Linked DNA regions of Rhinolophus ferrumequinum. The protein of the gene in region 3 interacts with the protein of the main gene of each other region in a pairwise test. Links are inferred from orthologs where the notes say so. Each region holds a gene or a part of one and is shown on either strand. Other genes may lie near its edges.

Region 1 (7,925 bases), about 47 Mb from region 3:
TTATTTTTTTTTAGTGAAAGCTTTCTTTCTGTATATTTGTAAAGAATATGACAAAGAAATGAACAGCACTAGTTTTATCAGTAGTCCCCATTATCTTCTTCATGTGCAAAAGCATCACACAGACTGGGAAATATCTAAGGAAGTCCATCACTCTAATGTATCAAGAACTCAAAAACAATAAATTACTGGTCATTTAACAAATAATGAGACTATGATAACAAACTTTTGTGGTTCTAAAAAACAATTGTTTTTTTGGCATTTGGGTGAAAACTGTTCCATTTTATTTCAAAAAATACACTGTTAAATTTTATTTGCAGTCATTTTTCATCTCTTCTCAAAGAAATAACAATCCTCATTTTTATTGTAGCCATTACAGAACTCCGCATTATGCCATTTAAAGGAGATTATGTGTAGGATACTTACTGAACTCTAAATGCTCACAAAAATTATGTATTTTTTGCAGAAAAAAATTGGAAGATTGTGTATACGATACAATTACAACTAACTCCTGAATGTAAATTAGACCATTTTATTAAACTACCAAATCCCAGTTTCAGAAAGACTTATGAAATATATTTATTCTAAAAATCTGCGTTGGTTTAAATTACTCCTAAAATTATTTAGCATGCAATATTTTTTACATTTTTAAGGCAATACATAGCACACTCAACAAGAACCTATACATGTATTATCTCAATCATTTATTGGAGCAAATTGGGGAAAGAACATTAGAAAGAATATTGATTGTTTTGTTTTGTGCTTGGGAAAAAATGAAGCATTAGTGAAGTGATGGTGTACATGAACTCACAAGTTTTAGTCAAGCCATTCATGGAATACACTGCTGTATAATTAGTATTTCTACGAGTTTGGTAACAATAAAACACTACCCAAAATAGGCACCTACTAAATAAACAAGAACAAGATCTCAAACAGTCATATAACTCAAAATTTTTTTAAAGATGGAGGATGTCTTTGCTGTATCAAATACATAAATAACCGAAGCACAAAGGGGACGGAATGCACTTTTAGAATGAATTCAGAATCCTAAATGTATTTTAATAATGCACATGCCTAGTGCTCACTGAATTAAAGAGAAATAGTAATAATTTGTTTCTGTGGAGTATGAGTATCTACATAATAAATATTATCTAAATATGCTCTATGGACCCTTTAGGAGAGGTGTGAGTCCAATTTTGAGTCGAATGCCCATTCGTCATGGATACCCGGTTTAAAGTGGTGAGATAATCTCTAAAGAACCATTGCAAAGCTGCCATCATAGGTTAAAAATACATTCCCAACGCTCTGAATGTCTTAGAGGGAAAAGAACTTCCCAAGGTCACTCCAGCAGGCCATAATGGAGCCTGAAATAAAAGCGTTTTGGTGCGATGAGCAGTCCTCCTAGGTCACCCAAAGGCACACACCTGGACAGTTTCTATTCCAAAATAAAGGGATCAAGGTGACTCACTTTTCCATGATCTCTCTGGCACCCAGCAGCATGGACAGGATGAAAACTAAAGACCAATTTCCTGGGTCAAGATGAAAGGCACTTCAGCATTCAGCGTAACCTGCTCTCTCTACCACACACAACACACATGAGAACCACGCAGAAGAAAACCACCACTAAGAAACAAACAGTAAGTGTAATACCACCCGGACCCCGGGGGACTTAGTGCCGGCCTTCCCTTATTTCAATTTAACCAGATCCGGCACTCTTTCCCTAATTAAGAGACCCGAAGAAGCGGTCCCAAAGTGGGGCCAAACTTTCTGTTCAGTGTCTTTTCTTTCTTTTGACCAGAACTCGGACATCTCTCCCAAGCCCTAGACAGAAAACAGTATTCAAAATGGGGCTAAACAGAAAATAACCCTCACTTTCAGCCGAATCAAACCAGGTGCCCGGCCACAGGGGCTTTGGTTACTCAAAGTCAAGTTACACTACTTAAAGACGTCTCCCCACGCACGAAGATGCAACCAGAAATATTCCAGTCTCTAATTAAATGGCCCTGCCCGAAACCCAGTCCCTGCCGACTTGCCTCCACACGCACAAACTAACTTCCTAGGGCGGTGCAGAGACGCCTGGACCCGAAGACTTCGCGAGCAAGGGGCAGAGAGGGAAGGACGCAGCCGGAGATCCTGCCAGGCGCGGGAAAGCCGCGCGTGGAGACGCCACGCACTGCTCCCGCATGTGGGGTCTGCGCTCCGCCCTCGGACCCCTGCACCAGGCGCTCGGCCTCAGGCCCAACCTGCTGCCCCGCCTCCGCCCCGCACCTGCCTCCTACCTGTCTGAGGATGAAGCTGGTCGAAGTGGTACTGCCATCGGATCTTTTCAACCTGCTCCTTCGGGTCGTGGTGCCTCGGGCCACCTGGACTCGACACACGGGGCCAGAGAGAAGCGGGTAAGGACCGCAGCGTGGAGTCGGGCGACCACCCCAGGCTAGAGTCCGCCCCTGGACCAGCGCCCCGGGGTCCCCCGGAGCCCGCACCCAAGTGTCCTCCGTGGTCCCCAGATCCAGCCCCCACCCCCACCCACCCACCCATTCCACGCCTGCACCGCTGAAAAGATGCCCGAGAGGTGCGGCCGGCGAGCACCCACCACATCCATTAACAAAGACTCTCAGGGCGCGGGGTCCGAGTCCCCGGCATCCGCTGGGGCAGGCTGCGGGCTCCGGAGCGGGAGCGCAGAGAACCGACCAGGTGAAGGGGAGGAGGAGAAGGAGGGGAGGAGGACGAGAAAGAGGAGGAGCGGGAGGAGGAAGGGCCGCGGAGGAGGGTGGGAGAGAGAGGCCGCTCACTCCCAGGACTGGGGGGCCCGCGCGCCCCGCACGAAGGCGGGGCCCTGCCGGGCAGCGGAGGCCGGGGGGGGGGGGGCGGAGGGGGCGGTACCTGCGCGGTGGGCGAGGGCGGCCCGTCGGCGGCTCCGTTCCTGGCGTAGGAGGAGGACATGGCTCACAGCTGCATGGCCAGCCCGAGCGCGATGGGCGGAGGGCCGACGGGCCCCCGGAGGCTCGGAAGCGGGGGGCGGGGGGGCAGGACTTCCCCACCCGCTGCAGGACCGCGCCAGCTCCCAGCTCCCGGCCCGCACTTCTGGGAGCGCGACACCTTAAAGGGACAGACGCGCTGCCCCCGCGCCCGCAGCGGGGTCCCGGCAGCGGCCCCCGCAGGGGAAGTTCCGGCGGTGGGACTTCTCGGGATGTCGCCCACCCGAGCGATGAGGAGAGCGCTCTCCCACCTAGCGAGCGCCTTACATCAGAGCTTTCCAGAGGATGAAGGGAGGGGGAAATCTGTGGTGGGGGTGGGAGGATTAAAATAGTCTGCACAGTTTAAAATGAGACAAAGGTGGCACGGTTCATGAATCAGGACTTGGGCAGGGACGCTGGTGCCATGTGGCAAGGAGTGGGAAGAACCGACCGGTGTGTGTGTGTGTGTGTGTGTGTGTGTGTGTGTGTGTTTGCTGCACTGGAATTTTAAAAGGGCAAGAGCCGTACCTTCCTTCTGCGACTTCACTTATCAGCCCACTGTGGTAGGGGATGGGGTTTTGTGGTTTGTTTATTGTCCGTGTTTTTATATTGTTTTGCCAACTCTCTTCTCAGAACTGGGAGCCATAGACACCCGGGCAGCTTCGGAGACCCTGCCAACCTGAGTCTGCCCGGAGATACTGCCCCCCAGGAGAGTAGCTTGTCCTAAGGAGTTTTGAAGGTCATGTTAGACCTGCTAAAAAGCAAGAGTTGGCCACGTGCTTCCCATTTCTGCGCGGATAGCTGTTTTCAAGGGAGGAGAGTCATCCAAGAAACCACATACAAGCTTTGCCGTTGTTGCAAGCCTGGGTTTCCTCCTCCAAATACATACAAGAGATTAATTTGAGATCAAGCGAATTGTGGAGAGGAGGAATTTGAAGAAATAAGAAGAGGGAAGAAAAATACATGCGAATTGGAAAATAAAAAGACCCCGTTCAAGTATAGTTACTGCATGAGAAATCCATCTTTAAAATATGCATAGTATCTTAAATCGCTAAATCAGCCCAAATCACCTTGCATTCTAGGATTTCTTTTTTTATATATATAGAAACTGCCATGTTTGTTTTATAAATTGGTTTGCCTTATTGAAGTCCTGATTATATCTTACCATTCACAAGATACTTATTTCCATTCCTTCTCCCTTCACTTTATCCAGACTTCATTTCTTTTTAATAGTCTAATAACTAGTCTCCTTGCAGCCAGGCTACTTACTGCAAACACATGCACGCGCGCGCGCTCGCGCACACACACACACACTCTCTCTCTCTCTCTCACACGCACACACACACACACACTTTTCATTCCATCTACACACTTAAGGCAAAGCCATTTTCCTACAATCTCTGCCCAAGGCACCCTTCTCTAAAAAGCACTCATTGCTCTCAGCAGCCCACGAGATAGGGATCAAACTTCATGGCCCAACAAGAAAGCGCTCCTCTACCCTGCTTTTCTGGTCACCACCTCATTTCTCCAACTTGATCTCTCCATACAGACCTTTCAGCAAGCAGGTAGGTGTGCACATTATTGCTTCAGTATACCAAATACAATCCCACTTCAGCACCTCTGCCTTGGAATGCGCCCTCCCCCAACACACATGCACGCGCGCGCGCACACACACACACACACACATACACACACAGCTGAATCCTACTTGTCCTCCAAATCTGGCTGAGCTCACTCTTCTTCCACAGAAATCCTTCCTGACCACTCCAGTCCTGGATCATTTCTCGTGTTCCTGAAAAACTGGAGCATTTATTCTCTAGGCATTTAGTCTAGGCTGCCTTGGTTTATTAATGCTCTTTTTGTGAAAATCTCCTAGTTTCTGAAATAGATTTTCAGCTTTTTATCTTCTATTCTTCTACCTTACATATGTAAGTAGATACTCTATAACGTGTGTGGGTAATGGTGTGTCTGCCAATGCAGAACTCCCTGCTTTGGTTACCATTAAATCAATCCATTTTTAGTTCTGAGCCATTTTCATAGTTGACTCCTAATATATAGAGAATGGATTATTATGTAGGCATCGAAATTTGAGTTTTCTGGTTTTCCACTGCCCATAGTCTCACTGACTTTGAATTCTCAAAAAGAATCTATAGCAGTATGACAGTGAGGACCTCTCTGCACCTACCCCACAGCAAAACTGGTGAAAATTATTATTTTTAAAATCATTTAAATCTCTGAAAGTGGTCCTACGGGTAACATAGCAAAGGAATAAGCATTTATTCAAGGAAATTCACTAAAGTTCAGTAAGAAAAGTGAGTCTGTGATATTTGAAACAAGACCTGCTTCCTCATTCCTTGCTTCCAGAGTCAGCTCAGCAAGAGGGGAATTCCACTCCACACTGGTGCAGACTTGAACATGGGGCTCCATCTCTCCTCAGCTCCCAGTATGAGGGTTATCTTCCTGGGAGGAACAGGACATCAGCATTAGGGTTTCCGGGTGGGAATTCCCGCCCATTCTCAGGAATTTTTTTCGCTTTCCCGTTTCCGAATCCTGAGAAAAGTTGGTCGGGAAATCAGGAAAATCGGTTCCTTGAACCCAGTAATACCCACAATGGGAAATAAACATACTAGTCACAATGTATCTCCTATACATTTTTCCTATTTATCGCTATCTAAAGTTACATTGTGTTACAATGTTACATGCCACCAGACATGCACACTTGACAACAGCATCAGATATCAAATGACCAGCTAGTTTTAGCGCTTGTAAATCGAGCACATTTATTTGATCATGGGGAACAGACAACAGTTTGTATTTACACAGAAAAATATTTATTTTCACAACCCAGGATTTGACTACAAAGTCATCTTCAGGTGAACTAAAGAAATCTAAGGCAGTTTACCTTGATATGACATTTTTGTCAAATCCTGGGTTGTGAAAATAATTATTTCTCTGTGTAAATATAAACTGTTTTCTGTTCTCCACGATGAATCGTTTCCACAAAGTGATGGCTGATACTACCAACCACCTGGGTTCAAGGAACCAATTTTCCCAATTTCCCGACCAACTTTTCTCAGATTTCGGGAATGGGAAAGCAAAAAACATTCATTGGAACGGGTGGGAATTCCCACCCGGAAACCCTAATCAGCATTTCTCATTTTGCCCCCAGGTCCCCATTACTGAAGGTTAGGTGCCATCAAATACAGCAGAGAGGTGGAGGCTCCATTCCTTAGCCCAGCCCCCACTTGTGAGATGGAGGCTGTACTGTGGGCACAGCACCCCTGAGAATACGGGGGTCACGACTGCTCCTAGAGAGGCACGCCAGGAGACCTGGGACTGCTGTCCCTTCCTGTCAAGCACTCTGCTCCGAAACTGGGGGTGTCACTCAGAGAGGGGCACCACTGTCCCCCCAGCACAGAAACTCAAAGAATCAACTTGGACCCTTACCTCATACCACATACAAAAATTAACTCAAAATGGGCCAAAAACCTAAATGCATGAGCTAAAACGGTAAAACTATTAGAAGAAAACCTAGGGTAAATCTTCATGATGACAGATTGGCAATGAATTCTTAGATATGACACCAAAAGCACAAGCAACGAAAGGAAAAATAAACAAAATGGACTTCGTCAAAATTTTAAAACTTTTGTACTTCAAATGGCACTATCAAGAAAGTAAAAACACAACCTGCAGAATGAGAGAAAATATTTGCCAAGTATGTATCTGATAAGGGACTCCTAGCTACAATATATATAAAGAAATCTTGCAACTCAGTCATAAAAAGGCAACGCAATTTTAAAATTGGGCAAAGAATATGAATAAACATTTGTCCAAAAAATACACAAATGGCCAATAAGCACATGAAAAAGATGGTTGATATCATCAGTTGTCAAAGGAATGCAAATCAAAACCACAATGAGATGCCACATTACACCAACCTGAATAGCAATAATCAAAAAGTCAGATAATAGCAAGTGTTGGTAAGGATACAGAGAAATTGGAACTGTGATACACTGCTGATGGGATTTTTAAACGGCGCAGCCACTGTGGAGAACATTGTGGCATTTCCTCAAAAAAGTTAAACATAGAGTTACAATATGACCCAGCAATTTCACTCCTAGGTATATAGCCAAGGTAAATGAAAGCATATGTCCATGCAAAAACCTGTACAAGAATGCTCATAGCAATATTTATAGTAGCCCAAAGTGGAAGCAACCCAAATGTCCATCAACTGATGAACGGATAAATAAAATGTGGTATATCTCTACAATGGAATGTCCTTCTGCATTAAAAAGGAATGAGGTACTGATTGATACATGCTACAACTTGGATGAGCCTTGAAAATATGCTAAGTGAAAGAAATTAATCACAAAGGTCATACATTGTGACCTTTGATTCCGTTTTATGAAATGACTCCATTTACATGAAATGCCCAGAATAGGGAAATCTGTAGAGACTGAAAATAGATTAGTGGTTGCTTATTGGTGGGGAGGCTGGGGTATTGAGGTGCTTGCTAAAGGTAGAGGGCTTCTTTTTGAGGTGAAGAAAATGTTCTAAAATTAATTGTAGTGATGGTTGCACATACCTGTGAACGTAGTCAAATCACTGAATTGTACGCTTCAAATGGATGAATTGTATGGTATACGAATTATCTCAATAAAGCTGTTATTTTTTAAAAAACTCTTCAGACCTTATCAAAATTAACTCAAAATGGATTATAGAGCCTAGTGTAAAATACAAAAGTATAAAACTTCTAGAAGAAAACAGAGGAGGAAATCGACAGCACTTTGGGTTTGGTGATTAGGTTTTAGATAAATACCACCACCAAAAGCATGATCTAAGAAAGTAAAAATTGGTATGTTGAGCTTTATTAAAATTAAAAACTTCTGCTCTGTGAAAAACTCTGTTAAGGGAATGAAAAGACAAGTCACAGACTGGGAGAAAATATTTGCAAGACACAAATCTGATAAA
Region 2 (7,752 bases), on a different chromosome or scaffold from region 3:
TCCCTCATCAACCCTGGCTTCAAGAGGTGCCCACCCACTGCCCCGCCCTCCTGTGCCCAGGGTCCAGCCCTGGACCCTGTCCCTCCTTCCACACCTCCATGATGTCCCCCTCTTCTTTCCCAGTAAGAAGCCAGCCAGCGGTGTGGATTTTGATGATCTCTGACGTGCAGCAAAAAATGATCCTGCTGGGAGCTGGAACGAGGCGAGGAGCAGCCCCTGAGACCTCACAACGTCCACCTGCCTGTCCTGCCGTCCAGCGGCAACAAACCTTGAGCTCCCTCCCCATCAAATAAATGGCTTCCTCAGGCAGACGTCATAGCCTGGTTCTGGCTCCTGGGGGATGGCTGGGGGAGAGGGATCAGGGATTCCCCTCAGCCTACGATCTGGACATGGGACCACAGGACATAATCGGATGGATGAGGCGCTTGCTCCCTGGGGGAGGAGCTGCCAAGCTCCCCCGACTGCCCACCTGCTCCTGCCTGGCCAGCCCAGGAACTGAGGGCCGTTCAGGGCCCTGCCAGGGTTTCCCAAGGCTGGAACTCTGTTCCACCCCACGGGGCACACACCTCACTCTTCCAGACCCCACCCAGTAGGTCCTGCGGGAGATGGGGGAGTGGTCTGCCCCCTGGGGGCAAGGCTGAGGAATGCGGGCCACCCCGCCCACTGGCCGGGAGCCCCGAGGTGCCCAGGCAGGGCTCTGCTCCCCACCCTCCTTGGCCATCCTGCCTCCCTGCCCTGGACTGACTGGTTTGGGAGCCCAATCCAGTCCCCGCTGTCCCTGTTGAGTGGGGGGGATGGGCTCGCCCCGCCCAACGGGCTCTCTGCCTCTGTCATTCTGGGCTGTCATCTGAAACTGAGCGTCCCACGGTCGGGGTTTGAGGGTGGCAAAAATCGTGGGCCCTCTGGTCCCTGGGATGTGCGGACACGCTCACTGGAGCACAGGGCTTTATGGCGCTGCAGACGAATGAGCGGGGATGGCAGAGGCGGGGTCACTAACGGGGTTGGACGGCGGGCCGGTAGGCCGCCAGGATCTCGGAACTGTGCGGACAAGTGTACTTGAACTCCTTCTCCTGCAGCGCGCTGTCCAGGTAGCGGCGGACGCCGCGCAGCTCCGCGGGGATGGGCGCCTGGCGGAAGTGCGCGCACACGGTCTGCGGACAAGGGGCGTGGGCGGGGTCAGGGCCTCCTCGAGGGCGCGCCCCGTACCCCCCCACACACACCCCCGCACCCTCCGGCACCCGGCCCGCGCTCACATCCACGATGTGCAGCTTGGGCAGCAGGCCGCAGTCGGCCAGCGTGAGCTGGTCACCATCCAGGAAGCGGCGGCGCGACTCGCGCAGCTGCGGCTCCCGAGCCAGCTCGTGCTCCAGGGGCGCGCGCAGATATCTGTCCAGCCTGACGAGGGCGCGCAGCAGCAGCTGGTACAGGGCTGGGGCGGGGGCAGGGGGCTTCGGTGAACACCCAGTCTGGGACACAACTGCCCCCATCGTCACCGCGGCTACCAACCCTCCTCACCATCATCTTGCTCGGGCACTGGGTTCTTGATGAACGCGGAGAACTTGTGAAAGACGTCGTTGCCCGCGGTCGTGGACTCCCTGTAGCGGGGCGCCAGGCTGGGGAATCTGGGGTGGAGAAGGAACTCGTGTCAGACCCTCGCGCCGCAGGCACCATAGCTCCCTTCCTGGGCTCTGTCCTGGGGGGGTCCTCCCTGGGGGCCTCTCCTGCCGTGCCCGGCCCTCACTCTGGCGGCCCCAGCGTCTCCTCCAGAAACTCCTCGATCTGCAGCGTGTCGGTTTTGGCGTCGCCATCATACAGCAAGATGGGCAGTTGTGAGCCGGGGGCGAAGTCCTTCAGTACATCTGGGGACCTGTGGGCACGAGGGAGGGGAAGTGGCTAGCCTGAGGGGACAGAGGACCCTGAGGGGTCCCTCAGGCGCGGGCTCACCTGCGCATATCCACCGTGGTGAGCGTGAAGGGCACACCCTTGAGTAGCAGGATCATGAAGAGCCTCTGACAGGAAGGGCAGTGTCCCACGCTCTCACAGTCCTCACTTGCCTACGGTGGGTGGAGTTGAGGGGTGTCAGGTCAGGGCAGGGAGCAGACCCAGGAATCCTGCCACCAGGCTGGGTGGGACCGGGTCTGCCACTGCCAAGAGACTGGAGCGATGCCAGGGCTCCGGCTAGGTCAGGCATGGCCTCAGCAAGTGGCCGGTGAGAGCCCTTGACTTGGTCTCTAGTACATGGGGAGGGGCACAGAGCTGCTGGAAGCCTGGAGGCTGGGTGAGGGCCGGGGGCCTGGCCCCTTGAGCCTTATCTTCAGACCCTGGGCAGAGGCCAGGGCCCTGGGCTCCAGGCCACACAGGCTGGTCTCAAGGGTGGGATGGGCCGAGTGAGCTGTTTTCTGAGTGATTCACACGCAAACTGGGCACTGAGGCTGACTGGGCACTGAGGCTGGCAGCACACTAGCTGCCCCAAGCCCTGAGGGTGGGGAAGGGTCCAAGGGCTGGCAGTCCCTACACTGGGCTCCACAGATCTGGCACCAATGGAGCTGCCTGGGCCAGCCACACACACCCCACCTCCCGTGTCGCCCCCAAGCTCTACTTGGGCATCTGCCACTGGCCGCCTGGTTGTCACCTCCCCCTGGAGGGGGGCTTTTGCTCCAGGATTGATGGACTGGGTCCAGGAGCCCAGGCTGGGAGTTGGGACAGGGCCACCCCCAACCCCTTTGGAGACGACTCATTGACCCTTCACCCCCAGGTTAACCCCACTTTACTCAGCCTCCATAGGGCTGCCTGAGCCCACCCATCATGGGAAGGGGTGCAGAGACTGCTGTGGAGACCCACGCCTCAGCCCACCCTGGAAAGTGGAGCCCCGCAGAGCACCCCTCCCCAAGGCCTTCCCCAGCCCAGCCTGATCCCCGGCACCTTGACAAACAGCTGGAGCTTGGCGGTCTCGGCCATGGTGGGGAGCTGCAGTGGCAAGGGCGGAGACCTGGGGAGCTCTTTAAGGCTCCCTGGGTTCCCGCCCTCCCCCGCCCAGGGCCCGCCCCGAGAGTCACCTAAGGGGCGGGTAGGCAGGCTGACGAGGCTGGTGGCGCTCACTGTCCCAGCATGAGGGTGTGACTATGGGGGGAACTGAGTGGGCCGGGCTGGCTGCCTGAGGCAGGGGACCTGAGCACCCCATGGGGGGTGTGGCACGGTGAGATGGAGGCCAAGACCAGTGGACTAGGAGGCAAGAAGAGAGGGGCCTGGGAGCGGCAGCTCCGCATCAGATCACCCCACCATGAACCCCACTGCCCTCCCTGCAGTGAACACCCCATTATCCGTAGGGCTCCCCAGTCCAGAAAGCTGGGGAGTGGATAGAAGAAATGAACAGCTTGGCTCCAGCCTCAGTTTCTCTATCTGCCTACCAGGGCATTACAAGAGTGATAAGCCCACTTAGAAGGGGTGTCCCCTCCCACCAACAGAGCTCTGTCAGGCAACGCTCCCCTACCCCAGGGCGGGGCCCACATTCCAGACCTGCCCTTGGGCAACAAGCCTGGCTCCAGCGTCTGCCCAGCTGACCCCTCAGCCCTGTCCCTCCCACGAGGGCTCAGGGCAGCTTTATTTCCCCTCTTAACCTTTAAGAGGAAGAACCAGGAGGGGATTTGGAGCCACTGCCTCTTGACCCACAGGATCCGCCCACCCCGCCCTCAGCTGGAAGGCCAGGGGAGGTCGGGGAGCCTGCGACCCCACAGGTGTGCACCTGCTAGCCCCCGTAGGGTGGCCCACCGCACCTCCCGCAGTCCACCCTTGGGGGCACCCCAAGGGAGGAACCCACAGAGGCTTAGCGCCACCAAGTGGCCGAGAGCGGGATCAGCCCGGCGCTTTTGCCTCCTCGCCCAAGGTTGGGGCCTCTGCTGGAACCTCAGCCTGACCTCTCCTTCCCGGACTCCACCGAGGTCAGGGCTCCTGGGCACAGGCCACTCCGAGAGCCTGGCGGTTGGCTTGGATATACTGATGTACTGTGGAGTTTGGTGCCCGGCTCCCCTCTGGGGCTTGGACCTCCCTTCTGCCCACCTCTATTCCACAAGCCAGATTTTAGGGGCCCTTTTCCTGCTTTGCCTGCACACAAACTGCGTCTTGGAGAAGGCCCCTCCACGTGCATGCTCGCCAGATGTCCTGCGTGAGTTTCTATGTGTATAAAAATACCCTTATGTATCTGTAAGAAAAACGGTGAACTAGACAGTGAACAGGTGGTTCAGAGTAAAGGAAATAAACGCCAGCCAAATGCGTGAGTGGGTTTCACCTCACTGGTTTGCAAGAAACAAACCAGAAAAAGTTCATGGTTGCAACGGGAAGACATGTGGTGGTCATATTTGTGGCAAGGATGTAGGGTACCCAAGTGTCAGCAGCCGCCAAGATGAGTCACCCATCTGGGAATTAGCCCAGAGATACCCTTGTAAATATGCGAGGGATATATAAACAGGTGTGTGCTGGGTATGGGACAGTCCTGTGTGTCTCACTGGTTTGAGGTTTAGTGGTGTTATGGGCTGAATTGTGCTCCCCAGTTCACATGTTGAAATCCTAGCCCCCCAGCACCTCAGAATATGGCTGTATTTGGAGATGGGGTCTTTAAATACGTGATTAGGTTAAAACGAGGTCATGACTACCCTCACAAACAGGAGATTTGGACAGACATGCACACGGGGAAAACACTGTGTGTACATGGGGGCAGAGATCGGGGTGGTGCTTCTCCAAGCCAAGGGACACCAGAGATGGCCAGATACCACTGTGAGATAGGACAGAGCTGGGGCAGGTGGTCCCCCAGCCTCCAGACTGAGAGGAAATGTCTGTTATTTTATGCTACCCACTTTGTGGTCATTTGTCATGGCACACCTAGCAGACAAATACAGGTGGGAGAAAAACACCCGGTCGATGGAAAAAACGGGAAGCATCAGTATGTGTCACTCCGAGTCATTGCTTGGACACGTGGGAACGGACGGAAGGCACCTCCTGTAGGATGACCTGAGGCGTGGACATCTGGCTAGCACCTCCTCTCCATCAGCACCGTTTGCATCTTCTGCCAACTTGCCATCGTCAATTGTTTTTAAAAAGTAAGACCAGAAACTCATGGTCACCAGCCGTGATTGGTCCAACGACCTACCCAGGCCATGGATGTCTCTATGCTCTCCTGCCACATCCACGGCGCAGCCCTGGAGGTGTCTCTGAAGTGACAGATGGGGGGCCTCACCGATGTTAGAAACTCCAGTCCTGAGCCCCCTCTGTGGGCCCTTCCCAGCACCATCTTAAAGGCTCTGTGCTCAAAGGAGACAGTGGGGTAGCACAGGGGTCTCCCCAGGAACGTGTGCAGGTGCTTCCTAGCTCTGCCGCCAGGGGGCCGAGACGCAGTGAGCACACCCACCGCCCTGGAGAAAGGCTGGATCCAGACATGGGTGGCAGTTCCAAGCTGGCCTGGGAATTGTACCACAAAGTAAGAGACTGCCCTAAAACACGTCTGGGACTAGGCAAAGGGACACAGAAGCCACTGTCGAGGGGCTGCCACTGGCCAAATCTGGGGCCATCTGAGTGTAAGAGTGATACTAGAGCTATACATTCACAAATGTTTGAAACAATAATTACAGAGGGTGCCAAAAAATGTATGCATATTTTAAGAAAAACTGTATTAAAATTGTAATACTGAATATATACCGATAACAAAAGATGAATACAAGTCACGTTTGACTTCTGCAATTACAAGAGGTCCTCAAAGTGGTTCCCATCAGCGTCCAGACACTTCTGATGACGGCGAACAACTGCTTGAGCAACATTGACCAAAGTGTTCACTTGTACACATTTTTTTGGCATCCCCGGTATTTTGTGTATTTTACCACAATAAAAAAAAATTGAAAGATGACAATAATGAATGAGAACAGGTTTTTTGAAACCCATGAGTCAACAATGACTATTTCTAAAAGCAGAGGAGATTGTTGTGAGAGAAAATGACAGCTAATAAATGCAGGGGGAAAATAGAGTAGAAAATCGCCATTTTGCAGCCCCCACCGAGGTAAAAACGTTTGGGGTGTAAGCTGGCCATATGACCCTCCAACTTCCTCAGGGGTGTTCTGTGTCCCTTCCAGTCCCCTTGAAGTGGTCTAAGGTGGGCGACTGACTATGGCCAAGCTCAGGGGGCTGGGCTCTGGGACCCTTCCTTCTGACCACCCTGTCTCCAGGCTCCATCACCATGGAACCCCCAGGCCCTGGGAGCCTTCACCGCTCCTCCAAACTTTGTACGCAGTCTTGCCTGGACTTGGGTCTCAACCTAGAGATCACCTCCTCCAAGAAGCCCTCCCACGGCCTAGATGAGATGCAGACAGCCCCGCACACACCACCCACTGGCCCTGCATGGGCACCAGGCCCCTGGAGAAAGCAGCAGAGCACATAGGACAACACTGACACAGCAAAGCCCACTCAGGACCTGCCCCCAGGCCCTCACCATGAAAACCCAATTGTCCATTGGTGCCCTGAGCACAGGGAGTCCAGGCTGGGAGGTGCAGAGGGAGTGACGGATGGCCCCTCCCTCAGTCTCCCCACCTGCAGCAACAGGGCATTAGAGGCATGAGAAGCCCACCCCTCCTCCAGGCTGACCCCACTGCCCTGCTCCCATGCTGAGCCCACGACTCCAGGAAACTGCAGGCAAGCCTGCAGGGCAGGGGCCATCTGCATCCCAACACTCTACCCCACACACGCAGGCCTACGTGGACTTTTTGTTTATTTATTTAAAACAAACATCTGTGCGTTATGTACAGGTACGGCTCCTGGATGGGCGGGCAGGCAGGGTGCCAAGTTGGGTGGGAGAGCAGTGGCAGCTGAAGGGGGTGGGGAGGGGTCTGGACCTTGGCCTGGCCAGCGTGGCCGGCTTCTCCACTCCTGCTACCCAGCCTGCTGCCCTGTGGCAGCCCCTCAGTGATGAGCTCCCAGCATGAAACCAGGCTAAGGAAGCCTCTTCCTATAGCAAAACAAATAGGTGCCTGCAGGTGGGACCTAACACACCCACACTCAGCCCCAGGCATGCGATACCAACTTCCAAATTGGATGTAAGAGAAAAGCCGGTTCCGGAAGCCAGGCCCAGGCCCGGCCAGGAGAGGGGCGAGTGGTACCTAAAATCCCGTGTCACCCCAGTGGCCCTGTGGGTGGTGGGCAGAGCTGGGCAGGGGCAGAGGCGAGGGGCTCTCGCCCCAAGGCTTTAAGGCAGAGCAGGGTGAGGGTGTCATAGCCCAGGGCCAGGCCAGCCTTTGGCACAATGAGGGGAGGGTGGCACAGTGGCCACGGGCAGGGCTGAGGACGGGTTGGGGGCTGGAGGGGCTGGAGCCCTTGGTCCTGGACCTCCCACTCCAGGGCCCCGCAGATGGCACTGGGGAAACAGGTGGGGCCTGGGCCACTGCCTGACTTCTGTCCCTCAGCCGTGTTGTTGAGCCAGCTCCTGGCGGTCAGCAGAGCGTGTCCGTGTTGAAGGAGAGCTGGGCCTGGTAGACAGCAGGCAGGCCAGGCTCAGGGAGGCATGTGGCACCCAGCACTCCCCCACCCCAGGACTGGACATGGTGTCTCCCACCTCCATCTCCCAGTCTGGGGACCACTGCATCTACAGCTCTTCTGTCCCCTGTCCACCTCTGCTCTACCTATCTCCGAGGCCCCTCCAACTTCCAGGTGCTGAAGGGTCGCAGTAGGTGTGTGTCCTCTGCCTGTGCCTGTGATTCCCACGTCCACTCTATCCCT
Region 3 (6,829 bases):
CACTGGTGTATCAGAACATATAAGAAAATTTTAGATCATTCTATTTTTCTCAACTTTGATAACCTCCATGCTATATTGGAGACTTACTGACCCTACAATTTCTTTTTCTTTTTTTTTCTTTTTCAAAAAATGTTTAATAGAATGCCAACTTACTGATCTGATATAATTTGATTTTATATTTTCGTATATAGATGTCAAAAGTCATTTTATTCTTGTATTATATAAATTAAATTATGTTGATTACAAAATTACCATAAGATTCTTTGTTATTAATAAATCATACATATAATAAAAATGTTTGATGTTCCTTTAAATGACATTTTTAATAGTGCTGGTACATCAGCAACACAATATCATGTTCTGGAAAACTAAAATGACACAAGGAGATTGATTGTAGTCTATGGATTTCAATTCAGTATGAACCGTGCTTCTCTTCTGTTTTTAATGAAATTGTATCTACAGAAATAAACTTGGCAAAATTAGAGCAGGAAATCAAAGGGAGTTGGGCAAAACTGGCATTTTACTCCTCTTCTAAGCCATATATGTCCTTTAAAAATTTTAAATAGTCAATGTATTTCATAGAAATAGGTGATGGCATCCCGACCAACACATCATCTCTCTCTTTCAAGGGTGATTTTGCTATCTGTGTGGGCATTATATTTATTCTCCAGTTCAGGGCACAGAAAAATGACTCATAATTGATTTGTTCATCACTGTTTTCAAACTTGGACAGTAAGGATTCTAAAAGATCATTACTCAAAGGCAACCTGAAGGACTTGCATAGCCTTTTGATGTCTTTGCTGGGTAATACTTTTTTTCTCTCTCGATCTTGGTATACAGAGCTACAAATGAGTCTTTCAAAGTTCTCAAAAGAATTTTTCTTGAGCTGTTCATGGGCCATTGCAATTAGGACATTCACATCTGGACAAGGGTCATCAGGCACCCTGTAGTGACGTGCAATGGTTACAAATTCTTGTTCTGTGAGGTTCCCAGCAGCTATGGTCATCACTATGTCTCTGAATGTATTACAATCCATCTTCTTCGTGAGCCCAGAGTCAGCAGCCCTAAACACCTGCCTGACGTCTCCGGATTTTGATATTTTTTCTTTCAGCTTTTCTAGAACAAGTTCAAGGTTGCTCAAAGGAAACTTGTCTGAATTCTCCTCCATGAATTTTAAGGTGTACTCATCAGCACTGAACACAACAAACAGGTGGCCATTCACATTCACTTTGGCTCCAATATACAGATCCTCGGCTTTGATATATTCTGATAGTTCACTTTTGAAGACTTCTTGTCCAGGCTTCTCAACACGCATTCTTTTCAAGAACTTCCGGAAATTAAAAACGGAATTCCTCTCTGTGGGTTCAAACACTGAAATTGTGTCATCACTGAGAAAATAAGATATAATAAACAGTCTGCCCTCATTGGCACATGGTTTTGTGATAAGTTTTGCTAAGAAACGGAGTATACCGCTTGTGTTGCCATAGCTATCTTTTTCCATGAATTTCCCGACATTCCTCAGATGAAGACAAGGTTTGGGCACGAGGCCTATACAAGAGCACAGAGAATCCTCTTCAGAACCAAAGCCCGTATAAGGTGGAAATTTCCTTTCTATTTTTGGAAGAAGTGGAGCCTTGAATGAAATCGGCGTAAAGTTCTCAATTCCATATTTATTCTTATAATAAGTCTTCGTGAATTCATCACAGTCACAAAGGACCACTTTCCTTCCCCACACATTGATGGTGGTTCCTAAGGACAGGTCACTATCTTTGTAAAACTCTTGCTCTGATTTTCCCAGCTTGTATTTATCCAACACGTAGCCATTCACTTGTTTCACTGCCAAGCCACCATACACATTGAGAACAACCTGATTTGTTACCTCGCCTGGTTGATAGAGTCCAGGGGGGCCATACTTGGGCAGCTTTCTCCTCTGGAGGAAAAATGGCAGAGCATCCCGGCCTGAGTTGTGTGCTAGCAATTCTATGATTTCAATAGTATCATCAGACAGAAAGTAGTGCAAGACGAGTTCTCTACGGTCCCCAAATAATGAGGCGGAATCATCCCACAGGCAGAAGAAACGCAATACCTTCCTGTCATACTGGAGGAACTGTTTCAGGGTGTCGGAGGATTCCTGGGGCTGTAAGCGCTTTACGCAGTCTAGCTTCTTTCTCCATATCTTCATGGAAGGATCTTCCGGACACTGTCCTGGGGGGTTTAATTTGACTCCTATTTTCTTCAAAAAGTTTTTTGTGAATGCATCACAGTCGTAAATCTTGAATGTTCGGCCATAAAAGACAATGTCTATGTTGACATTGAAATGATGGACCGTATAAAACTGAGCATCCTCCGGAGGTGGGAGAGAAATCCGATGACGCCTGATGAAAGTCCCTTGAGGCATTCCGCTGTTTCTCACCTCTGGTTCGTTTACCTGAATTGTGTCATCTTCGAGATAGAAGAGGATTTTATAGTATCTGATGCCATAGTTTTCTTGACTTGTATCACGCACTTTATCTTCTACATAGGCATCGAAAGATAATACCTGTTTGTCAAAAGCTACCCAGGCCGGTGCGTCACTTCCCACTTCTTTAGTAAATACACTGTATTTGTGCTTCATCTTTTGGCCGAGAAGCGGTTCTCCGCCTATTCCAGGTTTACTTTCACCCACCAGCATGCTAACATTGTTGCAAAAGCCCCAGTGTTGAGATTTGTGGAACTTCGTCTTTCCCACGTTGCGGCTGAAGCTGTAGCCGGGCAGGAGTGGCAGGGCCATGGTTCTGAGCTTCCAAGAGTCAAGGATCCTGGAGGAAAGGGGCCCGCAGGTAGCAGCTGCTTTGCGACCGCAATGTTGAAGCCCCCACTCTCAACGCGTTTCCTAGATACAGGAGGTGGCGTCACAGAAGAGTGACCCCATAATTTCTTTGACGATTCAGAATCCTCTCTATGGAAATAAAGTTGATGTCGTAGACACTTGAAATGTCCCACTTAGCGGTCCTCTGTGTAACTGAACTTTCGGCATATGAAATATCCTCCATATTTAGCAGCAATACAGGCTACATAGTAAGACATTAATCATAACCATTTTTAAACACATATTACATTTTTCATCGCAGTGTATATATTTCCTTTGATATCAAAGGAAATTAAATTACAAAATCATTATAAAAATGGCAACTCTGCATAGATATTCCCCAAAATTTCAATGTATCTTGTGTTTGTTCTGCTACCGTAGAGAAAATGGTATCATAACATTTCCCCAACATTGTACAGTAGGCATTTTTTGCTCTTCTACTTTCAGAGATACAATCGAGGTTCAGAGAGTACACGCTAATATTATAACCACTTGGGTTTAAATTTTGTCAGTTAATAGTGGTGCTATGGACTGAACTGTGTCTCCCCCAAATTCATATGTTGAGGTCCTAACCTGCGATGTGACTGTATTTGGACATAGGGCTCTAAGATGATCAAGAAAGTAATTAAATGTGGTCATGGGGTGGGGGAGGGCTGATCCTATAGGATTCGTATTCTTATTAGAAGAGACACCAGAGCGCTAGTACATTCTCTCTCTCTCTCTCTCTTTCTCTCTCTCTTTCTCTCTCTCTCTCCAACATCCCCCACCCATCCACCCAGGTAGGACAAAAAAAAGGAGAAGGTGTACGTCTGCTGCATGATGGAAGGGAGCTCTCATCAGAAACCATCGATGCTGGTACCTTGGCCTTGGCCTTCTAATATTCAGAACTGTGAGAAAATAAATTTCTGTTGCTTAAACCACTCCATCTATGGTATTTTGTTATAGTACCCTGAGCAGACTAATACAAGCAGTATGGCTTTCAACAAGTTGCTTTAACATTTCTGTGCCTCAATTTCCACAACTGTAAAAAGTGTGACAAGTGTACTTACATTTTATGAGTCATAGTCAGGTTTACTTGAGAGGTTGGTAAAAGCACATACTTTCATCTATGAGATGAAAAGGTCTGAGGATCTGATATAGAGCACAATAACTATAGTTCATGAGAAATGTGTTATATAATTGAAATTTGCTAAGAGAGTAGAATTTAAATGTTCTCTCTCACACACACACATAAGATAGATAGATAGATAGATAGATAGATAGATAGATAGATAGATAGATAGATAGACAGATAGATAGATAATCAATAGATAAAGTGACAGATGTGTGAATTAGATGAGGGGAATCTTTTTACAGTACACTTACATATCAAATCACCATGATGTACCCTTTAAATATCTTACAAATGTGTATGTCAATTACATCTCAGGAAAGCTGAAATTTTAAAACAAAGATAAAAAAGAGAACCTGAATATGACGGAATGATTTAAATTCAGTAGTAAGTAGCTTTTGTTTCCATATCATTTATAGAGCAATGTTGTCAGTAAGTCAGCAAAAAATAATTGACATCATCGAAAAGCCTCAGTTCAATTAAGATCTGAGATATACCAAAAAACATTGTCTCCGTTATTTTCTTATTCAGAAGTAATATCTTTAAAATGAAGATAATTGAATCTAGAGAGAAAATATTAATTTTTTTGTTGTTGAAATGAAGAGTTGTGGTCACCTTCAGTTTAAAGTATGGATTTATGTCAAAATTAACTATTTTATGTTTTTAATATATTCATTGGACATTTTTAAATGGGTAAAAATGTAACATCTGAAAGAAACAACTTATAATATTTCAACAGTGTTGTTTTTATCTGAAGAATCCCTCTTTCATGCTAAGAATGCCTATGTTCTATTTTTAATTTGATGAACCCTGTTTATAACTTTAGGGTTTTTTTCGACTGAATGCATCAGACTCCCCTAAATGATCTTCATGCCGTCATTAACTTAGATGTGAGATTATGACTTTAAAAAATCAGAAAATTCAGGTTTCTTTTGGAGTTTACAGGTGAACCTACTTGTTGTACAAAAGGTAAGACTAAAGACACCGAGGATTTTCCTTAAATCATGGAGCCCATGTAAAGACTGGGCTAAGACTAGAATTGAAGTATTCTGATCCAAGAACAATCTTTCAGTCCCATTGGCCTTTAATATTTAATTCTTACAGTTAGGTACATGATAAATTTTATCTAGTCCCAAAAGATAATAGGCTGTTATAAATTCAATATTCCAATTAATGCAGAATTTTCGTAAGTTATAGGGAATTATATTTTTAAAGCTTTAGAATAGTTTTAATCACTCTGCAGTAATGAAAATATTTTGTATTTGTTCTGCCCAGTATAGTAACCAAAACCCATCTGTGGCTATTGAGCACTTGCACTGTCTAGTGTAACTAAGAAAATTAATTTTTAATTTAATTTTACCTAAATTAAGCTAGTGGCTACAGTCGTGTACAGTTCAGTTTTAGAATAAAATTAGAAGTGCAGACTAAATTATCTTGAATAGTTGTACTTCATGGACATTATTGTAAAATTGATAATTGGTATTTATAATAATATGATATTTAGGAATATCATCTTCATGTTTCAATAAGCCCATATGCTCATCTCTATATGACTGTATAGAGATCGATATAGCTATGTACACCAGACACCTAATGCAAATGATGGTTCTGCACTTGCATGGAAAGATACTAAGATAATTAGTTAAATGAACTCGCTGTTTTATTTATTTCAAGAATGTTGAGAATGTTGTTTAGAGTATCATCTTTATGAAAATCCATGGAATAAGTTTTTCATAGGATATGATACTAGGAAAAGACATGAAATGAATAATTTATTTTACATCTCTCCTCTGTCTTTGCTGATAGGAATCTTAATCCAAATGTTCAGCTCATCTTTTAAAACTGAGTAGTCTTCGATAACATAAGTAATAAATGTACCAAATTTACTGCTTTGAATTGGGTTTTATTATTCTTATTTTCATCTTGCTTGGCTTTATCTATTTATTCCTCTTTTTATAAATTCCATTTTATATCAAGATACACACATTCATTTACATATATTTTATATACTGTGTAAAAGAATATATAATAATGGCCAACAAGTATAGAGTTCTTAATTTCATTAATAATTGGAAAAATCCATTTTAAAACCATAATGAGCTACCACTAAACATCTAAAAGATGGTGGATATTAAATAAACATCCCCCTCACACACACACACACACACACACACACAACCACCACCACCACCACCACCAAGGGACCAACGATTGGTTATATAGAATAAGAAGAACTGAAATTTTCATACACTGCTGGTAGAAGTATAAATTTGTAAAACAGCTTCAGAAAACTCTTCAGAAAAATGATTTTCTAAACTAAAGCTGAACATATGAATAGCTATGACTCAATAAATCCGCTCTGATATATAAACCCAGCAGAAATGCTACATGTGTGCACCAAAAGGCATGTACAAAATGTCCATTGCTCTACTATCCATAACAGCCACCAAACAGTGACCACTACATGTTCAACAATAGCAGTTGATAAATAAATTAAGGTTTATTCATACAATTGATGCTACACAGCAAGGAAACATTGAAATAATAGTACTGAATCTCGAAAACATACTGTTGAGTGAATAAAGTTAGAAATAAAAAACACATTGTTTATGAGTCCATTTATACGAAGTTCAAAATACCCAGTTAACCTTTGGTGTTAAAGTCAGGTTATGGTTACTTTGAGGGGAAGAGAGGACTTTGACAGGGTGCAAGTGAGAGAGACTTTGGGGTGCTTATATGTTTTTTTGATTTGGGAGGTGATTAGATAGTGTGCCTCATTGGTGGAATTCATAGAGATGTATGCTTAGGATTTCTACAATCTTTTGTCTGTATGTGATAACATGAAATATGTAAACAAATTTACCTTAAAA
Region 4 (7,083 bases), on a different chromosome or scaffold from region 3:
TATTGTCTCACAGTCCTGGAGGCCAAAAGTCTGTGATCAAGGTGTCACCAGGGCCACACTGGCTCCAAAGGCTCCAGGGGAGGATACTTCTTTGTCTCTTCCAGCTTCTGGTGGCCCCAGGCATTCCTTGGTTTATGACTGTATCATTCTAACCTCTGCCTCCATCTTCTCTGTCTGCCTCAAACCTCTCTCTGTCTTTCTCTTAGAAGGACACCAGTCATTGGATTTAGGGCCTTAAATCCAGGCTGATCTCATTTAGAGATCCTTCACGGAATTACATCTGCAAAGACCCTTTTTGCAAATAAGTCACATTGACAAGTTCTGGGTGGACATCTTTTCAGGGACAGCATTCAAGATAGTACAGACTGCCCAAGAGGTTTAGGTGTCCTACGGATCAGAATTAAATCACATCAGATGAACAGTGCTCGCATTCTCTGGATGCCTCAGGGATATCTTGGTCTGGTGCTAGCACATCTTTATCACGTTGCCAGAGTGTCGGTTGCGTGTGCCTCCAGACAGAGTGACTGCTGGTATGGTTTTCAGTCACTCTCTTTGTACAAAAGATCATGCTGGTTCTTTCAGCAGCAATGTAGTCTGCATATTATGATGTAAGCAGAACAGACACATAGCAGAAGACAAAGGGTAGAACGTGAGCGCAATGCTGAATTTCACAGTGACCCTACTGATAGATGTCATTGTTCCCATTTGATGGAGGGGAAACTGAGACTCAGAGAGATACAATGATGACTCAGACCTGGTTTCAGAGAGAACACAGGAAAGCCGGAATCTGAACCCAGGTCCATCTCAATTTTCTCACAGCCTATACTATCCCAGCAAGGAAGCACACACAATTCTGGTGGTGGGCCAAATAAGGCTCCCCAGAGAGATCCACGCCAGTCCTTGGGACCTGTAAATAGCTCACATTACATCACAAGAGGGACTCTGCTGATGTGATCAAGGTTATGAACGCTAAAATGGGGAGAATGTGCTGGTTATCTGGCCGGGTCCAGTCCAATCGCAGAAGGCCTTAAAACAGAAACTAGGCAGAAGGGAAACTCGAGACTCCAAGTATGAGAACCCCGTGCCTAGTTCTGAGATGAGGGGGCCACATGCGAGGTTGAGAACTGAAGAGAAGCCTCTAGGAGCGAAGCGTGGCACAAGGTGGAGAGCCCAAAATCTGAACGAGTTTGGAAGCAGATTCTTTCCCAGAACCTCCAGAAAAGACACAGCCCAGCTGACCCCTTGATTTTAGCCTGCTGAGAACCATGTTGGACTTCTGACCTATAGGAACCGTGAGACAATAAATTTGTGTTGTCTTAACCTGCTTGTGATAAAGTTGTTAATGCAGCAACAGAAAAATTAATACAATCGTGCAAATGTTATCTCAACAAATCCTAACAGCTTCCTGAAATCTGTTTGAGGTTGTCTATATTATACAATGATGCTCCGAAGGCCAGAAGCATGGAGAGCAAGCCTTCTTTACTGCAGAGTCTACATTCCTCCCAACCTTCTGGCTGCCTCTATGAAGACATGTCACTCCCTTGCTTGGTGCTCTGATGGCCTCCAAAGCCCTGCTGTTCCCCCAAGGCCCTGCCCACCTCATTCTCAGTCCCCCGTTTCACCACCTCCCCACTTCTGTTACACAGGCCTCTTATGCCTTGACTACCCTGAGCTCATACTTGTCTCAGCACCTTTGCAGCAACTTATGGGGTTAGATGCTTCTCAAGGTTCAGTGTCAAGTTCAAATGAGTCAGAGAGGCTTGATGAGACCACTCCCATGTGAAGCAGCAACCCCTCCCTCCCAATTTCCAACTCAGCACTTTTTATCTCCCCACGCCCACACACAGTGCTCAAGTTCAAGTTGTAATTACATATTCACTCACTTCTTTACTCATTTATTCTCTTTGGAACACTAGGCGGTGAAGGCAGGTAAACACCCTGCCATGTTCACTGCTCTTAAAAATTCTCCAATGGTTCATTCTCAAAGTGACAGTAACAGCCACGTCCCTTCCTCAAAGGTCCTGCTAATGGCTCCTGCTGCCCCCTCTCCAGTCACCGGCTCCTCGCTGGCGTGTTTATTTTCTAGTTCTCAAACAGCCAAGCTCATTCCCACCATGCTCCATCACACCACCTCCCGACTTGTTTATTTACTCATTTATGTACTTGCTTAATGTCTGTCTCCCTGGCAAGGCTGAGATTCCCGCAAGAGAGCTGGGAGTTGTCTATTTTATCACAGCTTTGAACCCAGCACCAATACGCTGACTCATACAGATGAATGAATGAATGAATGTGCGAGTTTGGGGAGAAACGATCCGGCTAGTGGGGCAAGGTAACGTCGGGGAAACCATTTATCTTGAGCGTCGGTATTCTCATCTGTAAAATGAGGATAAACAGTCCCTACTTAACGGGAATTGAAGGTATAGCGGCACAATGTGGGCGCTCAACAAGTGAGAATTATTACCATTATTATTACCAAAGTGGTGGCATAAATGCCTCTTATTCAAATGCCTGCCAGCGCGCAGAGCGAGCACTCTGAGAAGTATAAACTGCTACTTCTTTGGGTGTTGTCACGGAACAAGGATTAACTCCTCACTGCTTCTGAAGATATGAGTGGGGGAGTGGGGTACGCCGCGAGGGGAAGAGAGTTTTCAAAATCAGAGCGCTACCCGCGGCCATCAGGAAGCGTCCTCCGCCCCCAGCGTCCCGCAACCCGAAGCGGCCGCACCTTCACCCGCTGCGCCTCGTTGATGCACTGCTGGTAGCTGCCGATGTAGAAGGCGTTCTTCACGTCGAACAGCTCGTCCACATCCCCTGAGCCGCCAGGGGTCGGGCCCGGGGCCGGAGGCGCCATGTCACTGTGGTCTCACTCACTCCTCTTCCTGAGGGACACGTCGGCCGGAAGCAGGGCGCCCCCGCGGGACACACTGGGAAATGTAGTTTACTTGGCCTGGAGATGAGCTAATGGAAGTCTCCGAAACGGGAGTAAAGGGGCGGAAGACGCAAGTGCGTCTTGCAGAGCATTTCGGGAATTGTAGTTTGATTCGATCCTGCGGGCCACTGGGATTCACCGAAACGGTAAGAAAAAGATCGAGGCTGGAAATGGAAGAGAAAGCTAACGAGGGTGAGACCACGCTGGAGGCGGGTCCAATCAACGGGAGAGTTTAGTGACGTCATCGGCACGCGCCGGAAGCGCGGCTCACACGGGTTCTGCGGCCGGCGGCGAGGATGGCTGGGTTTGCGGAGCTTGGACTGTCTTCGTGGCTCGTGGAACAATGTCGGCAGCTAGGTTTGAAGCAGCCCACGCCCGTGCAACTCGGCTGCATCCCCGCCATCCTGGAAGGTGAGTGTGGCCCGGTCTCCTCCCCGGGAGGCGTGCCCGCTCCTGTCGCCTCCCTTCCCTTTAACCCACGCTGGTCCTGCGAGGCGAGGGGCAGCCTCGGGCGTTTCGGGGATCCTGGGTTGAGGCACACTAGGCGGTTTTAGCGTTTAGGTTGCGCAACTGACTCGCTGTGTATCCCCGCCAAGTTATGTAGCCTCTGAACTCTCATAGTCTCAAGAGTTCGGGTGTGGGGGGGGGGCGGTGTTGGTGAATGACTAACCGATAATACTGGTAAAGTTGAGTAATTTGTACTACTGTCTTCATTTTACAAATGCAAAGTGAAGTTGTCAAGATTACTGGTAGATCCAGGACTCTGGTCCTGTGACTTCTGTTCTCACTCATCTGGCCCAACCCAGTTTTGCCATTGCAGAGATGTCCTCACAAAGCCTAGGATGTAGCAAGTTGAGGGATTAAACAAAGGTGAAAGAATCCACAGGGAGCATGAGATGCAGACTGGGGGAATTCCCCCAGATTCCCCCAAGTTCATGCTGGGGGCAGGGTTGTCAACATTAAGTGGTGGTTGGTAGCATCTTGGGTCAGATGGATGTGGGTTCTAATCCAGCCTGCTACTCATCAACTATGTTCCTGGGCAAATCTCTGAGTCTCAGTTCCACCTTCTATGAAATGGAAATGATAATGGCCTCTTTCTCCCAGAATTTATCAGTTGCCCACAATGGGAAGTTGTTAGTATGCCCGGAATGGGAGTACCCGGCACACAGTTAACTGCTCATTAAATGTTAGCTGTTGTAAACTGTGCTCAATGGAACATCGTATATACCTAAACTGTGTTGATGTCGCTTGCCCTCTGCCCAGGTCGGGACTGCCTGGGTTGTGCCAAGACCGGCAGTGGCAAGACGGCAGCATTTGTGCTGCCCATCTTACAGAAGCTGTCTGAGGATCCCTATGGCATCTTCTGCCTTGTCCTGACACCCACCAGGTGAGCCCCACCCCCCACAGGCCTCCTGGGTGAGTTAACCAGCTGTGTTATCTTGGGCAAATGCCTTTACCTCTCTGAGCTGCACTTTCCCTGTGTGCAAAATGGGGACAGAAATCATGCCTCCTCTTAGGTGTGCTACAGAATTAAACAAGGTAGCATGTGAAAATGCTGAGCACAGGGCTTGACTCAGGGCAAGAGGCAATACAGGAGCTGTCAATAGTCTTATAGCTCAAAAACCAGGCATATCTTCGGATCCTGGGCGGATAGACTCGGTGATTGACGTAGGTCCTCTCTAATGGCATTCTATAAGGCTGTGGTCTGGGAACGGGTGTGGTCAAGGAACGCTTCAGTCATGGGTGCTTAAAGGATGAGAAGCGTCTCATCCTAAAGGGACAAGTTTGGGGAAAGGTAATCTAGGCAGAGGTCTGCTGGTGCATTCATATGCAGAGGTGTGAGTGGCAGAGAACAGAAGGGGTACTGGGGCTGGGCACGTTAGAGCCAGCTTGAGAAGGGCCTTGAATGCCAGGTTAGAATTGATTCTGAGGGAGTGTGAGCAGGAGAGAGTAAGACAGGAGGCTGGGAAGTGGGGACATGGGCCGAGGAGGGACTTGGACACTGACTGGCCCCAGGGAAGGGGGCACTAATGCTCGGGGTTCAGGCTTTGGTAACTGGTGTCAAGGCCATTGCTGAGGACATGGGAGGAGGAGAAGCCAGTTTGGGTGGGACTGGTGGGGGTGGGGCCGTGGGCTGTTCTGGGACCCAGTCTGGTGAGGGAGCAGAGCCCACACAGCCCTCCAGTGCTCAGTGTCAGAGATTTTGTCTAAAGCGGACCGGGAGCTGTGCAGGGTGTATGAACAGGAGCCGGCGAGTCAGGAGGCCGCGGCGGTGGAGGTGGAAATGTGAGGCAGGCGCGGAACCCGTCTGACCCAGCCCGGCTCCTTCACACCCACAGGGAGCTGGCCTACCAGATCGCAGAGCAGTTCCGAGTCCTGGGGAAGCCTCTGGGCCTGAAGGACTGCATCATCGTTGGCGGCATGGGTACGCGGGCCCCAGGGAGGCTCTGAGTGTGGGGTCCCCGCAGCCTCGGACCACCCGCCCAGCCCCACCTCTTGCCATCTACCTGCAGACATGGTGGCCCAGGCCCTGGAGCTGTCCCGGAAACCACACGTGGTCATCGCCACGCCGGGGCGCCTGGCTGACCACCTCCGCAGCTCTAACACCTTCAGTATCAAGAAGATCCGCTTCCTGGTAAATTGCCCTGGCCACTGATTCATCCATTTGGGGAACATATGTCCCACAGGCCGTCGTAGTAGCATGTTAGGAACATAACAGAGACAGGGTCAGAGACCCATAAGAGGTGACCTGTACTAGCGAGAGTGGTTGGAAGCAGGGCGTCTCTGAGGAGGCGGCATTGGAGCTGAGACAGGTGAGGGAGCAGGGCCTGCAAAACACTGAGGGAGAGTGCTCCCAGGCCCACGGCCAAGGCTGGGAAGGAGGCCCACGGGGGAAGCAGGCCAGCCTTGGACAGCGCCCTCCTCCCCATCCCCCGGCTGCCGGTGCTGCAGGTGATGGATGAGGCTGACCGCCTGCTGGAGCAGGGCTGCACTGACTTTACAGTGGATCTGGAGGCCATCCTGGCAGCCGTGCCGGCCCGCAGGCAGACACTGCTCTTCAGTGCCACTCTTACCGACACACTCAAGGAGCTGCAGGGCCTGGCCACCAACCAGCCCTTCTTCTGGGAGGCTCAGGCCCCGTGAGTCTACAGCCACCTTTGGTGGGGGAAGGCAGGCAGCAGGAGGGGGGGGCGGGGGGGGCGTCACACCCAGTGGAAGTTATTGCCCATGGGTGGGGCAGGGGATTAGCCAAATTCATCAGAAGGGGAAACAGGCCTGCCCGTCCCCAGAGTACGCACTGTAGAACAGCTGGACCAGCGCTACTTGCTGGTGCCTGAGAAGGTCAAGGACGCCTACCTGGTCCACCTGATCCAGAACTTCCAGGATGAGCACGAGGACTGGTCCATCATCATCTTCACTAACACGTGCAAGTGAGTGAGGGTGGGCCCCCCCATTTGCCCCCCGAGCGAGGGTTGGCTCCCCCATAACCCTTCACAGAAGCCTAAGATGTGGCCTGAGGTCATGGGTGGGAGGCATGCAGCACTCCAGGGCCTGTGCTCAGACCAGAGGTTTTGGAGGATTTGCTCAAGAATGCTCACAGAGATCAAGCAGCTCACCAAGGTTACCCCTCCTAAAGGTGGCACCAGGATTTCGGGTTCCTCAGACCCGCCTTAACCTGAAGGGCTTGTGGCCTTGAGCTGTCACTACCCTTGGAACAGCCTATCCACTGTTGTCTAGGGTTGTCACTGAGGCCCAGTGCAGTGGCACCCCCACCTGGGGTCGTCCTCCCCGTGGTCCCAGGGGACTTGACAGTCCTCTGAAGCATAGAGGGAGATTTCAAGAAGCTGTAGACTGTTCTAGCATGAACCAGTAGATGGGGACGCCACACCAAGAATGTAGATGGGCACTGCCCCCTAAGAATGTATTGGCTACCAACACAGATGGGCCCTGGATGTAGGGCTAACTCTTGTTTGCTTAGGCCAGGGGAGGAATCAGAGAGAGGACGGCAGTGGACAGGACACCCTGCACCTCTGCTTGTTCTTTCCCAGCTGTGCAGGGCCACCTGCATGGGTCCCGGGCAGGGGCGGGGGCAAGAGTGCTTTTCCAGGATCCTGGTGCTGGAGGGACTGAGAGTGTGTCCTTCCTGCCAGGAC

What was found.
Region 1: the proteins of EF-hand domain-containing family member C2-like (region 3) and CACNB4 interact in binary tests that used the Homo sapiens proteins (3 or more experiments, as listed by UniProt). The two-hybrid records come from large-scale screens. The link is inferred for Rhinolophus ferrumequinum from reciprocal best matches to the Homo sapiens genes EFHC2 and CACNB4.
Region 2: the proteins of EF-hand domain-containing family member C2-like (region 3) and CLIC3 interact in binary tests that used the Homo sapiens proteins (3 or more experiments, as listed by UniProt). The two-hybrid records come from large-scale screens. The link is inferred for Rhinolophus ferrumequinum from reciprocal best matches to the Homo sapiens genes EFHC2 and CLIC3.
Region 4: the proteins of EF-hand domain-containing family member C2-like (region 3) and COPE interact in binary tests that used the Homo sapiens proteins (3 or more experiments, as listed by UniProt). The two-hybrid records come from large-scale screens. The link is inferred for Rhinolophus ferrumequinum from reciprocal best matches to the Homo sapiens genes EFHC2 and COPE.

What each region holds. Positions count from the first base shown.
Region 1 is NC_046291.1:68,432,280-68,440,204, reverse strand, and holds the start of CACNB4 (voltage-dependent L-type calcium channel subunit beta-4), read right to left. Parts: upstream 3,017-7,925; 5' UTR 2,941-3,016; coding exon 2,881-2,940; intron 2,729-2,880; exon of another isoform or gene 2,600-2,728; coding exon of another isoform or gene 2,591-2,599; intron 2,361-2,590; coding exon 2,277-2,360; intron 1-2,276. UniProt on the Homo sapiens protein: The beta subunit of voltage-dependent calcium channels contributes to the function of the calcium channel by increasing peak calcium current, shifting the voltage dependencies of activation and inactivation, modulating G protein inhibition and controlling the alpha-1 subunit membrane targeting.
Region 2 is NC_046295.1:83,143,244-83,150,995, forward strand, and holds CLIC3 (chloride intracellular channel protein 3), read right to left. Parts: upstream 3,020-7,752; 5' UTR 2,959-3,019; coding exon 2,923-2,958; intron 2,055-2,922; coding exon 1,945-2,054; intron 1,868-1,944; coding exon 1,742-1,867; intron 1,623-1,741; coding exon 1,516-1,622; intron 1,430-1,515; coding exon 1,254-1,429; intron 1,152-1,253; coding exon 993-1,151; 3' UTR 310-992; downstream 1-309. Other genes in the region: protein PAXX, read left to right, coding at 1-26, 128-293; ABCA2 (ATP-binding cassette sub-family A member 2), read right to left, coding at 7,467-7,502. UniProt on the Homo sapiens protein: In the soluble state, catalyzes glutaredoxin-like thiol disulfide exchange reactions with reduced glutathione as electron donor.
Region 3 is NC_046291.1:21,738,235-21,745,063, reverse strand, and holds EF-hand domain-containing family member C2-like, read right to left. Parts: upstream 2,771-6,829; coding exon 521-2,770; downstream 1-520. UniProt on the Homo sapiens protein: Microtubule inner protein (MIP) part of the dynein-decorated doublet microtubules (DMTs) in cilia axoneme, which is required for motile cilia beating.
Region 4 is NC_046301.1:51,517,248-51,524,330, forward strand, and holds the start of COPE (coatomer subunit epsilon), read right to left. Parts: upstream 3,012-7,083; 5' UTR 2,852-3,011; coding exon 2,726-2,851; intron 1-2,725. Other genes in the region: probable ATP-dependent RNA helicase DDX49, read left to right, coding at 3,226-3,340, 4,193-4,316, 5,269-5,354, 5,443-5,564, 5,882-6,069, 6,220-6,360, 7,081-7,083. UniProt on the Homo sapiens protein: The coatomer is a cytosolic protein complex that binds to dilysine motifs and reversibly associates with Golgi non-clathrin-coated vesicles, which further mediate biosynthetic protein transport from the ER, via the Golgi up to the trans Golgi network.